2 linked regions of the Oryzias latipes genome follow. The protein of the gene in region 2 interacts with the protein of the main gene of each other region in a pairwise test. Links are inferred from orthologs where the notes say so. Each region holds a gene or a part of one and is shown on either strand. Other genes may lie near its edges.

Evidence for each region.
Region 1: the proteins of nfkbid (region 2) and ss18 interact in a two-hybrid assay, tested with the Homo sapiens proteins (2 studies listed by BioGRID and IntAct). The two-hybrid records come from large-scale screens. The link is inferred for Oryzias latipes from reciprocal best matches to the Homo sapiens genes NFKBID and SS18.

The regions. Positions count from the first base shown.
Region 1 is NC_019875.2:25,752,310-25,761,079, forward strand, and holds part of ss18 (protein SSXT), read right to left. Parts: intron 7,664-8,770; coding exon 7,507-7,663; intron 6,515-7,506; coding exon 6,284-6,514; intron 6,128-6,283; coding exon 5,957-6,127; intron 5,678-5,956; coding exon 5,600-5,677; intron 4,627-5,599; coding exon 4,504-4,626; intron 1,210-4,503; coding exon 1,079-1,209; intron 658-1,078; coding exon of another isoform or gene 640-657; exon of another isoform or gene 595-639; intron 1-594. UniProt on the Homo sapiens protein: Appears to function synergistically with RBM14 as a transcriptional coactivator. Isoform 1 and isoform 2 function in nuclear receptor coactivation. Isoform 1 and isoform 2 function in general transcriptional coactivation.
Region 2 is NC_019874.2:15,536,152-15,545,602, forward strand, and holds the start of nfkbid (NF-kappa-B inhibitor delta), read right to left. Parts: upstream 4,914-9,451; 5' UTR 4,814-4,913; coding exon 4,798-4,813; intron 977-4,797; coding exon 840-976; intron 653-839; coding exon 619-652; intron 366-618; coding exon 175-365; intron 77-174; coding exon 1-76. UniProt on the Homo sapiens protein: Regulates the expression of IL-2, IL-6, and other cytokines through regulation on NF-kappa-B activity. Functions in the regulation of inflammatory responses.

The sequences.
Region 1 (8,770 bases), on a different chromosome or scaffold from region 2:
CCTTACAATTAAAAATAAACATTCATGATTAACTTCAATCATTTGAAAAAGCTAGACAAAGCACTGCTGGTTTGTCCTTTTCATTAATGAAATCACAATATTTGAATTTTTGTCCCTGAAAATACTCAAAATCACAAAAGAATAGCTGAAAATTTTGTTTTGTAGAAATTTAAATTACTAAATGTTTAGATTGTGCAAAAACAAATGGGAACTAAATTGAGAGGCAAGATATTTGTTTGGCAGCACAGGCGCATCACCTGGAGCCCCAGTTTTGAGGAGATCACATGTACCGCTACACCCCAACAATCGCAGCTTCATCACAAGCACATTGTTCGTCGAGTGTTAAAGTTTGAGGAGACGTCTCACTACAGACTACGCATGCTTTTGTTTTGGGACCTCATTTCTGACAATTCGACCCCTGGTTAAAACAACAACAGTAGAGTTAAACAGAAATGGAAGAACTTAAAAAAGGTTGAATCAAAAAATAAAAAAAGAGAAGAAGAGGACAGATAGAAGAAACATTAGAAAATGCAAATTAACTCTAGGTGGTCAAGTGTCTAGATTGGACCCTGAGGTCTTCACAGCAACCATTACCTTTGCTTCTTACAGAGCTAGTCAGGGGTTCAAATCCCCGCTTCCTTATTTCCTCATGTGCCCCTGAATGTTCAAAGATAAAGATATCAACGTGTAGCTCTGGTCCCCACAGAAGACCATGGGAAATACAGGGCAGAAAACGGATTGCACTTTAAACAATGGAGCAAACTGACTCAAGTTTAAGGAAGAATCCTATTTAAAGCCCTGGTATTTCAAAGGAGGCACACCACATGAACCAGAAGAAATAACCAACACTACGGTTAACATTTCAAACACAGCAGCAGCATATACAATCTTCTGGAACAAACAGACTCAACCACCCAATAGGATGTTTGCATGCATAACACAACATGATTCTTGACTTTAAACTTCATTGTCTGTGGTTTCACTGAGAGCTAGAAAAGCATTTTTTCTGGCAATAAACTTGTTTAATTTGTAAGAAAATCGGAATTCCAAACAATCCGGTGACTGCTGCTATACTCACCTGGTCGTAACTGTACGGGCGCTGCTGCTGGCCCTGAGGGGGTCCGGGCTGGGGAGGACGGTAGCCCCCATACTGTTGGCCCTGCCCCTGCGGATAGTTAGGGTACTGTCCCGGAGCACTTTGGGAGGGGCCTAAAGTGAGCACAAACAGATGTAAGGTGGCGCTCTTAAAAGGACGGCTAACTGAAAAACCAACACATTCCATTTCTGATAAACCAAAAGTCTTAATTTTGTCAGTCTGAACCAAAGGACTAGTTGTTCAGCTAAAATAGGGGTCTAAACGTGACTTTTCCACCTCCGTTGTGGATCCCTGGTTAAAGAAAAACAACAAGCTTTTAATATAAGTGACTATAAAGTTAGAAGTAAACTTTATTCAACTCATTCACAGACAGTTGAAGGACAGTATGCATCACTCAGTGAGAAACCTGACTACAGTACCCATAATGCTCCAACAATAAAAGCAATTCGGACACCATGTTCACTACTTTCTTTTTGAAGCCTTATTCTTCTGAATGGTGAAGTGAGAAATTGACCCAAGTGACAATATATTAGGTTAGTATCTATAAAATGTGTGTAAGTATCCCTAAAGTTGTATCTTTTAACACTAACAAAAGAAAAAAAGCAATAAAAATAATTTTCAACAAATATTGACTTTATTTAGCCACAGAAACCCAGTTATAGTCTAAAAGAAAAAAGCTTAAAGTGCCTGAAATAAAAAAATCTATCAGTCCTTATTTAAAATAGAAACATTCTGACCAACTGAACCATTTGATGCTGAGAAAAATAATTTAGTCAATCAATAATATTAAATGTAAATTGATCTGAAACATTAACAGAGCAGCACCAATATATTTAACCTTTTTAGTCTGTAGAGATAGATAAAAACATTGTGCTGATGTTTTTCTAAATGATGGATTGTTTATTTATGATCTCATAAAGTGCAGCGGTTTTCCTGCATTACCTGCTGTCTTTATTTCAAATACTGACACCAACTAAACGACAGGCAGACAAAAAATACATTTATGAAAAATAAAGATGTCATCAAAATATCTATAACAGTTAATGAAGGATGACATTATTAGCATGAACTGAGTAATCTAAAAGCATGTGATGATCCTGGTGGTGCTAATCCAGGCAGTGCTTGCAGCTCTCCGCGTGCCCCATTTCACCTGGCAGCCTGAGCCTACTACCCCTCCCCTTTCGTTCTCACACACGCGTGTGACAGGAGACGGGAGCGCGCAGCTGCAGGGACGGGGATTCAAAAGTTTCAGGCTGTTACAAACTCTGTGTGTGATTTAACAGACAATAGGAACCGAATAGTGGCGCAGATTTTTTCCTCGCACTGAGCCGCTGTCGTCACCACCCCCATGTTAAATTTGCGCCCCGGACATTTGCCCGTATTACCTGTGCCTAAAACCGCCACTACCGCGCGCCCCTCCTGGCATCGCATCGGCGTGTCCCACTATTTGAGAAGCACTGCTTTATAGCAAGGATCAACCGACAGAAGAATATCAAATATTTGCCTAGGCTGCTTCTGAAACATGTTAGCAAGTTATGGATGCAACCAAATGAGTCACACTGAGGTCAGGGAGCAGTTACACATAAAAAAAAAAACAAGCTAAAGAAAATAAATATGTATATATGTATAAAGAGAGAGAGAGACCTATTTATAATCCAGCTCTGTACACAGGAGCCATCTTTGCCGATACTGTGAAGGACCGAGCAAACTAGACTTGGGTGGAAGTCAAATGAGGCCCACGCAGCATCGTTAGGCCCTCCTAATGCCTTATGCTGCTGTGCATAACCTTGTGGGAGCCTGAGAGAGCAGGCGTGTGTATGTGCCAGATGGATCTCACCTCACAGCCTCGGCATCTCAGCTGGCTCATTAATAACTACAGCTCTGGCTCACAAAGAGGGCAACTGACAGAAAGTTCTAGAGAAAACTGCCACAAAGAGAAATCCCTTAAGAGCTCCTGCAAGTAAACCCACACTTCAAATGATATCAGATCCTGATTAAATCATGTTTATTTCTATACTCTTTTTTTTGTTTTTTTTAAGTAAATGCTTAAACCCGGATAGCCTATTGACGCGTACAGGTGCAACAGGCTATCCAGGGCGATGGAGGATCGTAGAGAGGAGCGGCTGCGTCTTAAGGCGAGCACATGTGTGTCCTGAGGCCATCTTAAGGGATGTCATGAGAGCGGAATGTACGATTTCCCTGCGTGTTGGGAAGTGTACTGTCAAGTTTTTGTAAGGATAATGCAAGTTCCACACACTTAGAGCGACCTAACCCCGCACTCTAGTCTTCAGCAAGGTGCGCGTCCTGGCTCCTTACTAACCGCACGCAAACGCTGCACGCAAAGGTGTGCTGGTGATATGTAAATACAAATAGGACACTCGCATAATTGTTTCATTTTCTCATTTGGAGCAGGCAGGCTGCTCGTAAGGAGCACACACTAACCAACGTAGGGGTGGTTTGAATAGACGCATCTCACCAACTTCCCCCTTACTTAAATATGAGTTGTGCAACTCTTCCCTATGACCAGTCGCCCGCATCAGGCCTACAGAAACACATGTGCATGAACATTTTCTTGATATGGGCTCATGGAGCAGTCTACCATCTGCATGCCCCCTTCAGGTTTGCCCATTTTTTTGCCCTCAGACAGCCCATGTCCACTTACAAGGGCAGGTGTTACCGATACTCCAGAGAGATTTACCAGGAAACATTTCAAGTTTGTCTGTAAAACCTACTATTTCGTAAGGATTTATTACATACTCTATTAAAAATGTATTCTTTATTACATTCTCTATTATTAGCTTGGATCTGTCCATCATTCACTTAGATTTATTAAACGCTGTTACATATTAGAGAACTAACAACAAGTCTATTTGTGGTTTAATATTTTTGTTAAGACACTAAACTAATTATAGGAAAACTAAGTAAAACCTGAAGAGTTTGAAGTAAAATAAGGCTCTATTCTTAGAGAAAACTGTTTAAGGTTTGTTTATGCAGTATTTAAAAAAAAAATGTGCCTCTTAATTCTGCAAAAAAAAAAGATATAATAATAATGTAGTTGCGGACCTTTAGAATAAATGTTTTATTTGTTGTTGTTGATGGCATTAGTTCTAAAAGATCCTTAGAGCAAAAACATCTGAAAAATCCCAAATGTTAGTTTATCTGGACTGGCTCTGAATTTTAGAGTTTACAAAAAATTGTTTTGAAATCAGTAAGCGGTCCTCTGATTCCTGAAGAATAGTTTTTAAAGTAAACTGACATGCTAAAACAAGCACTAATGATTTATTTTTCCACTAAGCTCCAATCTCCTCAATATTTGATTATGTCAAGACATGTTCACTGTTTGGTTATTTCACCCATCTGCATTCCAGTGGGACATTGTGGCTTTCTGGGTTTCTGAATGGACTCACCGTAAGCTTGTTGTTGTGGCGGGTAGCCCTGCTGACCTGGGTACTGCTGCTGTGGAGGATAACCCTGCTGCTGAGGGGGGCCTTGCTGGTATGCTTCCTGCTGCTGGCCATACTGGGCATTACCTTCAAGTCAGAGAGGGTACAGTGATGAAGATACACTCATGCAGGGGTATACAAAGCAACTTTAAAGCGATTTTATGGAATTTGAATAAAAAAAAAGAAAATCTAAAAATAGGAGATGCTAATATAACCTTTTTTTTATTTATTTTTTTACTTTGAGTCAAATAATACATGAGGTCATAAAATAAGTACATAGTCAAACAAGTAAAATACCACTTACATTGCATATTATTTTATGACATTACTACCATAATATCTGTATATTCTAGCTGTAGTGTTTCAGCTTCACAGAGGAGATCACAGAATATAGACAACAAATAAACAAAAACAGGTCAAGAGTTTTGTTTTTAGTTTTAAAAACATCTGACTCTGAAAGGCTGTAGAGAAACGGAGAGTCAGTAGAGGAAAAAAAAGGGAATGTTAATTGAACAAAGACAGAAAAGAGTTTCGTATACAGTGTTCCCCCGTGTATTCGCGTTTCACTATTAGCACTCCAGTTCATCACAAAATCTCAGCTCAAGACGCTTGTATAAGACTTTTGCGTCCAAAGAAGGGGCTGGAGTGCATTATAAAGTACGCTGTGGTCAGTCTATTGCTCTGAATAATGTAAAAAAAAATCTTTATGCTGAGCAATATTTCAGTGCTTTTTAATAAATGTTTTACGAAGCATCAGAAAAGTTTCAGAAGGGTTTTTAATGAGTAAGGATTGGTGACGGACATTCTCCAGCCACAGGGGTGGGGGGGTTCTCCGTATTCACGGATGTCTCTGGTTCCTTACCCCCGCGAATAAGGGGGGAATACTGTACCATAATAGGCTTCTGCTGTGATTCTAGTGTGAAATGACCAATTTTGGGGAATTCTTAAAAAAATGCCATATTCCCTAAACATTTGGCTTCCCCAGAAAGTCATCAAGAAACTGATGAGTTTTGGGCTGATGCATCGCCTTTCTTTCCCAGAGGTTGGTGGGTTCACCTACCTTCTGAGGCTCCCTGGCCTGCGTGACTGTACTGGTCCCCATAGTAGTCTTCCTGTCCTGGGTACTGCTGAGGGGGTCCTACATACACACAACATACACACAAGTAGATTCAAGGTGTCGTTGGTATGGGTTTATGTGGGGGTGGGGTAGAGAGGATGGACTCCCTGCCATGAGCTCTAGAGAGACGTGTTCTCTTAGGATCTAAAAAGACTTGATGCTTCAGGGTGCATCAAGGTGTATGTGAACTCCACAAGAAAGGTAAATTGAGAAGAGAAAGAATGGGAGATGAAGGAGGAGGGTTCCAGGGAAGATCGGACTTCAAAACTTCCATGCATAAGACCACTAACAGCTTTATACCTTGCTGTGGGGGTCTGTAGGGGGGCATTGGCCTCTGTCCCATGACGTGGTTCCCCTGGTTGACCTGACCCATCATACCCATAGGGTTCTGTTGTCCTTGGTAGTGCTGTCCACCACTACCTGGAGGCATGTTGTACTGCTGTGACGGAGGCTGCTGATGCATCATCGGACCTGGAATTACCCCAAAATGAGTTAGATATCTCCCTATAATAGACCCATAATAGATAACAGCGCTAAACTTAATACACAAACACCAGTCCCGCACAGCAAGACGCAACAGAAATCAATAAAACTCCACGGATTGCAAGACAGGAAAACTTGCTTCACCTTGACTTGGCTGCATGTTTATGTTTGGTCGAGGTCCATAGTTTCCCATTGGCTGGCCTTGGGTCATACTCATTTGGCTCTGAACCGGCATCCCCTGAGAGGATGGGACAGCATGATTGTAACCCCCCATGGAGCCATGACTGCTGGGGGGCATGTTCATGGAACCACTGGACATGTTTGGAGGCTGGTTGGGGCCTGGACCGGGTCCTTGCATGGGCATGTGATTAGGACCTGAAAGAAAAAAAAGAAGCACAAAATAGTTATGGAAGGTCAAGAACATTGAGTGAAACAGTAATTTACACATAACTTTTCTGTGGCCTGATTTTGGTTTGATTTATTCTAATAAAAACTTAATGGAAATGACCATTTTTCCCGTATTACATTAAAAATTCTAGTGGAATGCTACAACTTTGGAATAATTAGAGTTTGTATTTTTTGATTTCATAAAGGTTCTTGCGAGTTTAACTTACAGATGGATGAACATTTTAGCAATTATGTTTACTTTATCTTCTAATTTAGGCCAGTTTTAAATGCACTGAAGGAACTACAGAAACTTCTTCTAATCTGTAGATGGAAAAATCATTTTGTTTATGATGATATAAATATCTGCTGGAAGTCTAAACACATTAATATGCAAACAAAAGATTGGATTGCAATTGTAAAAAAATTAAAACGCGTATCAGAAAAAAGTTGTATAGTTATCGATCAAATTCTTAAAGCTATTTTTAAAGTAAAACAGCTCTTTCTGCCTTTAAAATGAAGTCTTTGCCTTTGAAAGAGATTCCACATAACCTTTAAAGCAACCCTGATGGATGCAGTTCTTTTCTCTAACTAGTTAAAAAAGTCCACGGAAAACATGTGCTATATATTTACAGCATCAAATTCGTATAAAAAGATGGTTGAGTAATTTTTAGGAGAGTGACTTGATCCCCAATAAAATCTGTTAAACTTTACCCAGAAAAAGAGTTCCAATAAAATATATACCCGTGTATATTTTTTAGATTTATGTATACTTTTGTGCTTAAAAAGAAAACAAAAAAGGTATCAAGTCAAAATCAAGTTCAAGGCCATCACAGCACCCCAACGAATGACATCATCCTTTAGCAGAAGACCTCCCTCTTGGTTCTGCGGTGTTGCTAAGCAACCTGAGCAAGACAGAAACTGGGAGAGAAAAAAGAAAAAGAAAGAAAGACAGAGGAGGACATATTGAGTTAGTGACTTACCAGGCATCTGTCCATTCATCTGGCTCTGCATATGGGGGGCTGGGGGGCCAACACTGACCATTCCCTCAGAGGGCATATTATGACCATGTGGGGGCTGGGGAGGAGGTCCGCTTTGGGTCATGCCACCAGGGCCCATAGGCATGTTTTGAGTGGGTGGCTGAAAGCATTAAAAAAAAGAACAAATATACCAATCAATGGGAAAAATCATATCATCACAAGAAACAAAAAAAAGAAAGCTAAATCAAGTAAAAGTAAACTTATGTGCGTATGATTAGCAAGACATTTAGGCACACATTGACCAACTGCCAAATAAAACAACCTCGTTTAATAAACGTGCTTGTGGCCACATACAATGCCATGTGGATGCATAAAAAAAAACAGAAAGAAAAACAAACTTTTCAAAAATTTAAGGCATGTAAGAAACAATTCATAAATCTTTATGAAAATGCATCTTTGGGAAAGGAGAACCAAAGTTACTCTTTAGCTCACAGAGTCAGACTGTAACTGCCTTCCCTCTAACTATCTCTAACCTTTCTTAAATACGGTGAAAGTAGATATTAGACAACTAGATATTTAAAATTACTTTTAAAATATAATTTTAATGAAATCAAAGATGCTTGCTGGCTTTATTAAAGGAATGTAGCAAATAGCCTTTTTAATAATTGAAAAGAAAAAATGTCTAAGTGACTGAACTTCAGTATGACGGAGAGCTTTAAAAGCAAAGATGTTTCATCAACAAAACAACCAGAATAACTTGAAGGGCATACATCACGCTAGTCAAATACTCCTATGCAAATGTGGACTTGGTTTGGTAAATTGAATTTATATTCTGTTGGATAAATACATAAACTGACCCCTAATTTATAGCAAAGAGCAACACGTGTTTCTGTAATTAAACAAAGAAGTTATACAGGAGTGCTGAAAAACTTGTTTTAACTGTTAAATGCAGAGGTGTAAAAACACAAGTGACCTAATCTCTTACAATGAAAACATTTATTATTGTGGTTGTTTTAAGACTTCTGTCTGCTCTTTTAATGTTTTGCCCTTAGCAATGATCTAGCATGAAGAGCTATTAATTAGTCTTTAAAACAGAAGTGACAATAGTAAGTCTCTGCGTATTTTAATTTGTTCTTTTATTCTATTTAAAAAAAAAAAAAATAGACTATAAAATAAACTAAAAAATCCTCAGTCGAATTCCTAAAAAGAGCTGGATCATGTGAAGTAGTTACAGTCATCACAAAAAATACATTAATAAACCAGAATA
Region 2 (9,451 bases):
GTTGTGCAATCTGACTGGAATCAAGAAGTTCCCACGACGAAGATGCACTGGGGTCCACAACTGCCACTGAGCAATCCTGCAATTTTCAACCCAAAGGCCCTCTAGCACGTTAGTTAAGTTTCAGGCAGGCACGTGACATGTGTAGGTAGTACACAGTCAAAGCATATCTCTTACATATGACTGGGACATTGAGTCTCCAAATGTAGGGATCTGCTGCTGTGTGTTGTATGCGGGTGTCATTTGGAGGTTGAAGGTTGGAGCATAGCTGGGGCCGGGGTGGCTGGTGTAGTAGCTGAGCGCAGGCTCAGGGGATGGGGTCCACTGCTCATAGCTCATTGCCATGTCTGAGTAACTGCTTGTTGCACCTGGAACAGAGATGCTAGTTAGTTATCTTTAACCTCGTAGGACCTAGCATCCACATGCGTTGACATCACATTTTGGGTTATATCACCACAGTAGTTAATTTTGCTTAATTGGGGTCCTGGGACAATGTGTGTAGAGGGTTAGCTGAAATATTAACCTGCGTCTTTAGAGGTTAAAATGTTATATTCTGCTAACAATAATGAATATCTGGATTTATCTTTGACATTTTGCAAAGAGAAGGTCCAGCTCTCCTACCTGTGCAGGTAAATGGCTCTGGTGGGGATAACTCCTATAGAGAAGGAAAGAGGCAAAAAGATGAGCTGCAATCATTCCAAATTGTCAAAGGTGAACATAGAGGCTGGAATTGCCAACAAATCTTGCACGAATAGATTAGAACATACTCATTCTAACCAATGCTCTGAACCTCTAAATTATTTGATGCTCATGGGGGTTAGCCCTTTGTAAAGCTGACTTACTGAGAGAACAGCTGGTGCAATAGGACTTGTGTTAGCAGTAGAGCAGGGGGGCTGCACAGCAGATGTCTCACGTCTTCGCTTCTGCTCCAAGAGTTTCTTCACAGTGGGCAGGGTGCAACACGGCTTCTCTTTTGGCGCTAACAACAAGAAACAATACCAAGCAGAATACGTGATTTTAGTAAGAAAATTGTGAGATTTTTGGCTTTTTAAGTTACAACAGATTAACACTAAAAGAATACAACTTTCTGCAACAGAAAGTCAAGTACAAATGATAAATCATCAACCATTGCCCATCAAACGTCTTCTAGGACAAGGTTTCTGCAGAGCGGCAGGAGTTCACAGCAATTCACCTCTGAGATGTGGGCGGGACCGTTGGCTCTCCTTGTTGCTGAGAGCTGGAAACAGGGAGTTTGTGGCCCGCCCAGCATATTTTTTACGTCACAGATACGCTCTTTTTCATTTTTTTCATCTGCGTCAGATTCACAAAGATTTAAATAAGGAAAGACTCAGAAATGCACAGAATTGTCATCAAAGTGGGTCTTTAGGGTCATATTGATCAAGTTGGTGCATTTTCTTGTGTTGAAAATCATTATCCTTTTGATTTGTGCTCTAGCTTGAACTGCCATGTTTGACGTAATCTTAAGAACAGTGGAAAAGAATGAAAAATTTATATTTGACTAAATTAAGACACATGCTCCACACCAACATTGGTACTCTTACCATTTCCCTACAACTTTACCTTAAGACTTGATCTTTAAAGTAATCTGTAATCTTTCTAAACAATTGGTGATGCTTTCCTAAAAGTACATTCAAAAAATTTCAATAATCAGAATCAAAATGTGCCTTTTTTGCAATGAATCTAGGTTAGATGATAATCTTTTTGTGCATCAGACACTAAAGATACCGGAATAGACCCTGCATGTGCAGAAGCTGTCCTCATTCACGGTGGGCATTTGTCACTTTCAGCCAGTGGCCCCTTTGCTGCATTTTTTCTTCAATAGTGCATTGATGCCCCATTTTGGCCTGTTTTCTGTCTGTAGAAATGTCTAATAAAGAGCACAAGTATAAAAAAAAATCTGGTCAGAGATACAAATCTTTGAAGGTTCTAGCCAGCTCAGCTAAAATTTTCAAACGGTGTTTTATTTTTTTAAGTTATCTCCTCAAATGTGCCCCAGTTTAAAACGCATATATTTTTAATTTAAAAAAGGACACTTCAAAATAGAAAAAATAGAAATTTTTACTGTTACAAAGATAGATGACGAGCTTTTACTTTTCATAGAAGGGTTTGTTTTTCTTTATTTGCTAAGACGCATCAACATATTAATATTTTAAAAAGCTGCCTTTGTGACCCTCTATTGCACGTGTTCAAACTCAAGGCCCGCGGGCTAAATGTGGCCGCTTTTAGCACAAAAAAAACTGTCATTTTCTAGGACATCGTTTCTGCAGAGCGTCAGTAGTTTATTAGAAATTCACCCCTGAGTTCTGTGTTGGCACAGAGTAAGACCACTCCCACTTCCCCTCATCAGTCAGTTTACTTGCTCTCCCGCTAGCTTACAGACTCTAACAACCCCAACATAACATTACCGGTCCAAAAAAAAATGTAGCTGGAAGAGGGAAACGAAGACGTTCGTGGACCTAGAGCACATGTGTCAAACTCAAGGCCCGCGGGCCAAATGTGGCCCGCCTTGTCATTTTATATGGCCTGCGAGAGCATAAAAGATTTTAATTTCTATTAATTTAAAATAAAAATTGGTGTGTATTTATTCATATCTAGGGGAAATTGGACTACAAATATCGGATTGGACAACTACACATTAGGACTTAAACAATGTCTATATAACCTAACCTGACGCAATCACATTTAAAAGAATTTATGTTAGAGTAACAAGCAAACATAATGTTTTCTATGCAACTGTAATTGTCATTTAAAAAGTTTTAATAAATAAATAAATAAGTTATTTAACATTGAGGAGTAGTTACGTTTATTTTTCATTACATTTAGTTACATGTATAAGTTATATCTGGCCCTTTGAGGACAACGTCCTTATGTGGCCCTTGGTGAAAATGAGTTTGACCCCCCTGATCTATTGGGTTTTACTTTTTTTACAGTTCAGTGTCAACAATACCACTTAGTGATAGATGTGAGGTCCAAATTGTAAAAACAGGTTTAGGTCTGATAAACAGTGCCATTGTTAAGCTTCTCCACTGTGACATTTTCACAACACCTAATCATTTCCCCGCTTCTTTTATCAAAGTATCATTTCCACCAAACAGGTAAAGGAAATTAAAAAAAAAAAAGGACAAAAATATGCTACAAAAGAGAATTCTGATGTTTCCAGTGTGACCACACAGTCTTGTTTCCTCAAAAAGTTCACCCCACACGTGAAAGATAACGCCTTGGGTCTCTTTCCACCCTTTCTTTGGAACCAGAGAACAAAGCTAAAACGATGAGAAACCTTCTCCACTAGGAACACACATGTGGCCGTGCAAACCCATGATCATTTTCATCAGAAAACCTTCAGCATGGGATTGCCACTGTTGATTTTCTGTGACACCTTCCTGTCTCACTCCGTTACGCTACAGAAAAGCAAACCACTTCCTTTGGTGTTTCACAAGCTTGTCACCTCAATACATGTTGCCCTGCGTTTACTGTTCACCTACATGCCAAAGACAGATATTTTGCCACTTTAGAGTTTTGGCCTGTTTATACACACGCTGAAAAGAACAAGTTGTCCTCAAAGGTTTACAATAAGTTGAAGTAGATTAAAAATATATATATACATATATAAATATAACTCAAAATGTACGAATTTACAGATAAAACACCAGTGTTGAGTTTGTTTTCTGTCTGTGCTGCTTTTCAAAATAAAATAAAAACTTTTTCACTTTGATGTGTGACGCTGTGAGAAACAGCACATCTTTGTGCTACTCTGTGTGACATTAAATGCCCCTCAGCTAAAGATAAAGGTCATCAATAACAAAAGAAGGTTATGACATCCCTTTTGACATTTCTGTCCCGCCAAGTTTCATTTTCATACACAGAAGGTGTTACTACAGGTGAATTGATCCTTACTCATTTGAGGTTTTCTTTTTAATTTATTTTGGCCTTTAAATTGATGACGATGCTGCATGACTTCACAGCGAGGAGTTTCACAACATATAGAAGTTGCTCAATACAATACATTATAGTCCCACATAAAAACAAGAAGCTAAAAGGGGGGCATTTATCGCTTGTCCAAGAGAAAAGGGGACCACAACATGCACCAATACTGGGTCTAGGCCAGATTAACCTTACCACAGAAGCCAGTCTATGTAAAATGTAAATAGGGCTGTGGAAACCCCTGGACATTGAGTCATGTGAGTGGGAGGTTGGGGATTCCAATGACCTTTCTCTTTAGGTTTGATCCTCAGCAAAAGAAAGAAGCAGTGCATAACCAGTTTCCTCATTTTCAGGTTAAACAGAAACGGCGTGCACAACAAAACGTATGTCTGTGATCACTCAGGCAGGTTCCGCAGAAGACAAGAATGAATAGGAAAAAGAAGACAAAAGCATAAGTAAAACAAGTTACACTTTCACATCAGACAACTTGCTTGAGTGACAGTCACTGAAAAGGGGAATTGAAAGCATGCAGGCAAGGGTGGAGAAGCATCAGGGATTCCCAAAACGGGTTTTGAATTTGTGATGTCAATAAACATCTGAATGAACAGTTTCAAAACTTGCTGGAAATATTTATACTGCGTTATATGATAGTGAGAGGTTTGGTGTTGTTTTGAAATGCTATTGTTTTGGGATTAGGTGTCTATGAGATTATTAAATCCAGAATTACAAAATAAAAACCCTTACAATAGAAAACAAATACAACAAACAATACTACAAAACTAAGACATTTTTAAGATTTAAACAACCTAATCTAAATAAATCTTTCTGCAGGGAGGATAAAAACACAATCATACTCACTTTTATCAAAGTGCATGTCAGAAACGGTTTTCTCTGGAGTCTGCGACAGTCACCAGTCCGTTCAATTGGGAACTTCTGCTGCTCGGTGGCGCTGAACTACTCTGTTGCGCTGGTTTCTGTTGACTGATGCTGCAGTGTATACACAAAGCACGTTGTCGGTGCCCCGCCCACCGGCCGCCCACGCGCAGTGCGGGACGCTCACCTACGTTTCTGTGACGTACCCAGAGGAAGGAGCAAACCCAGAGATAAACATAAACCGCCAAAATATATATATATATATATATATATATATATATATATATATATATATATATGTGTGTGTGGGGGGGGGGGGGGGGGGAACTGTAAAATGTAAAAGTACACAAGAATGTAGGAAAAGTTTTTAGAGTGCCCGTCAAAGGATCCATTAAAAAACTAAATCAATGCAAAAAAACAGTTGCAGAGTTTTCTTTTTTTAGTTCAATTCTTAAAGTTGTTGTTTTTTCCATTTAATAAATTGCACCTGCTTCTCATTTTGATTCCAATGTCAGACCTGTAGTCACTAGAAAGAAACATGATCTGTACAGTGAAATGTGTCAACTTTCAGGTTCCCTAATGTCTAGACAGAATCTTGCAGGAAAATCTGAGTCACTTCAAGGAAATCAAGGCAAGACAAGTTAATCTGTATGACACATTTTATGTACAAAAATAATTCCAAGTGCTTTATGCATTAAAAGAAACAAAATAAAAAGGAAAGGTGTGATAACTAACATTTAAGAAAGTTAAAATGAACTGAATTTCAAGTAAGATTGACAGTGGCTGTAAACTTTTGAATACAAACTAATCAAATGCAGCTGAGAACAGGTGTCTTTAAACTGGATTTAAAAAAAACTTTTTCAGATGATTTAAGGCTCCCTGCAAATATGTTCCAGATCTGTAGAGCAGAGAGGCTGAATGCAGCTTCTCCATGTTTGGTTTTGATTCTGGGTCTGGAGGTCATCCATGTATTTTGGAGCTAAACCATTCAAAGCTTTATAAACTAGCAACAGACCATTAAAGCCTATTTTCTGGCACAGACAGCCAGTGTGAAGATGTGTGAAACTGGACTAATGTGGTCTTCTTTTTGGTCCTTGTGAGAATCCGCAGCAGATTTCTGAATAAGCTGCTGCTTCATGATTGACTTTTTGGTAGTCCTGTCAGAACAATGTTACAGTAGCCGAGTCAACTAAAGATGAACGCATTAACTAATTTGTCCAGGTCCTGCTTAGATATTAGAACTTTAATCCTTGATTATTTTTAAGATGATGGTAGGCTGATTTTGTGACTGCCTTAATGCGTTTATCAAAATGTAGGTCTGTGTTCGTCACCACCCCCAAGTTTCTAGCCTGGTTGGTATTTTTAGATGAAAAGATTGAAGCTCAGACCTACAACTGTTTTCTTTAGCCCCAAAGACAATAACCTTAATTTTTTTTGTTTTTTTGTTTAGCTGATGTGTTTAGCTGTGATGTCCTCAATGCATTTACTGAGGGCAGTGCAGGGCCTCTATCTCCTGGTGTCAATATACATATACATATGTGTGTCATCTGCATAGCTATGGTAACTGATGTTAACATTCTTTGGCAAGTGGGAGCATGTAGACATTAAATTTAAGTGGACCCAGTGTAACGTTCTTCAATTATCCAAGTATTACAAAACAAACAAACAAAAAAAAAACAATATTTGTATTTGTATTTGTTCTCTTGACAATGTAGTTTAACCTGCCCTGCTATTCATTCAACATAAACTCCTAAGAAATAAACATATAGACAGGATGATATTAGCCAGGGTTAACAAAGGAAAGTCAATACTGATTTTTCTTTTTTCTTTTCAGTAAAAAGACAATCCCAAATATATATTTACATATGTGGCAATGCTACACCAGGATGGAGCCTTTAGGAACCCACCCCACATGTAATTTCTGTTAGCTCAGATTTGAAGTTACCAACACAAAAGTTGCCACTTGACACAAAAACATTAAAACATATATTTTTCTATTCTAACTCTATAGCTCAAAGTTTTTCTCTTTTTCATTAAATTATTTCTGTTGCGTAGCCCATAAAATATGCCTAACTGCATAGTTTGTATTAAAAGACACAATTATTATTACATCACAGGATAAAAAGCATCTAATGATTTTTTTAATTAACAGTATCAAAAAGCACTGAGAGCTTGCTTAGAAACTAAACAGATGTGAAGATTAGAAGAGTAAAAACTAAACAACTTGTGATTTTTGGTATAAAACAAGAATGAATCTATTGGATTGTTATGACAATTAATGTGGGTCTGTCTTATAAATGTCAATATGTTTTGGGATCTTTTCCATCATTTTTATCCCTTTAACTTCCTGGTCAACCAAATGGTGGAGCACATTCTGAAAACACATTTTTTTAAACTGTCGATTGTTTGTATATTCACCTAAGGCAATAGGCAATAGACAAATATTTTTTGATTGCTATGTCTTGGTTGGGTTGTTTAAAGGTTAACACCGTTAAAATGGTGAAGGAAGAATTAAAGTCTAAAAGCTATATTTCAGTGTGGTAAATTTCTACTTCCCCTTCTCAGTTTTAATTCATGTAGAAAAAAGACACTAAAAAAATTACAAATCAAAATTTCAAATAAAAAAAAGAGATGCCAGGACTGCCAAATATAAAAACAGTTCACAAATCTTCAAAGGAAAAATAGTTATCCAGTGTGAAAGCATTTTGAGCATTTGTGAAGGTTCTCTGACATAGTGGTGACTGTGACGACAGTCTTCAATCTTGTCGTCTATTTTTGCCAGAAGGAAGTTGCATAAATAGAAGAAAAAGTCAGGAACCTAAGAGTTCTACTCAGTATTATTAAAACAGCAAAGAAAAAACTGTATGGATCCCTCAAAAGGAAATAAATGCAAGTTCCCTCAGGATTAATAAAGTACTATATCTGTCTATCTATCTATCTGTCTATCTAATAAAAGTTTTTAAAATAATTACTGTGTATACATAGATTTATAAATAAATGTGCTGTTTGAGCAGTTCAAAAATAGGAAGTTAATATTAAAAGACTGATTATGAGGCGAAGCAATACTAAAAATAAAACATTATGTATACATTTTCAAAAAATTTGAATTGAAATGAACTCATATGTGAGCTCTTTTTTTCTTAAAAGTGGATGTTATGGTGGTTTTGTGGAATTGTGCCACAATCAAACAATTCCACAAGATTGCTTTAAAATTGCTAAAATTGCTTTAAAAATAATTGAGGTCACTAAAGAAAACAATAACAGTTTGGTTGTGTAAATTCAGACTTTATCATTTCCTCTTGATCATTTCTTTTTAAAGTCTGCAACATTTAATTGTACCAAAAATCCTGTAAATTTTGAAAGTCATATTTTATTGTTGCTGAATTAAAAGACATATTGTAGCTGTTTCTAGATTTTTTTCTCTCTATTATTTTGAGAGACAGTTTGTCAAAAGATTAATCTCCAGAGCAACAACAAAAAACTTCCTATCTTTTGAACATTTTTCATTCTAATGGCTTCAACTAAATATAAACTGTAAGACCAAGGCTGTTTTTAACAACTTTAAATATAGTTGGAATTTTCATTTGGTAATTTTATAAGCACACGTTTTATTTTAAAAATGTTAAAAGGGAATTAGTGTGAAAAGCTGCTGGAAAAATATGAATGATTTAAAAAAATGATATAAAATAAAAGGGGGGGTTCCCCTTCAGTTTGGAAAAAGCAGGCATTTGTGAAGCTTTCAGAAATGTCTGTATTATTTATTTTTTTCTTTTATTGTTTAATATTATTGTATAAATATTAAATGCTTGGATCTCATGTATGTCTTTGGCCATCGACTGACCGTCCAGCAGTGTGCCGGCACTTGTGAATATATTGTGAATATATATATATATATATATATATATATATATATATATATATATATATATATATATATATATATATATATATATATATATATATATATATATATATATATATATATATATATTCGTTTATTTTATTTTATTTTTCTTCAACTATTCTTTATTACAACCCTGAATTCAAAACAAAAGAAAATCATCTGAGAGGTTAAGTGGTATATTGACAACAGCCTGATTGGTACAATGCACAACATGATAAAGCCCACTTGACTGTGGTGCAGGAAAAGAGGATCCTTCTGTTCTGCAGCAAAACAGTTTTCGCTGAATTTGAAATGAGAAGCCCTGCAGCTCCCTCTGCTGGTCAAATAAAAAGATTTCATCTTTTTCTTTTTCTTTTTTTCCCATAAAGCCAAACTGAAACCAAACTCTGACCACGCTGGTGGTGGAGTAATTGTTTGGTTCAAGTTTGGGACTTGAAGATATAACTTTAATTACAAAAAAAACAACTGTACGTATTAATATTCAGTTTAGTTGAGCAGTTGTGTGTCTCTGGCACCTTTTGAGCTCAGTTTATAGAAGAAAACTAATTTCATAAAAGAAAACTCATCTTCAGTAACTTCACCTGCTTTTAAAAATTAGGTTTATGCTTTGTAACCCTAACACTGAAACAAGGGCATGCAAAATTGTCTAAAACATTTAGATGACTGATTTAAATGATTTTTAAATGATTAATTTAATGAGGGTAAAACATTTGAGTGAGTTGCAGACAGAATATT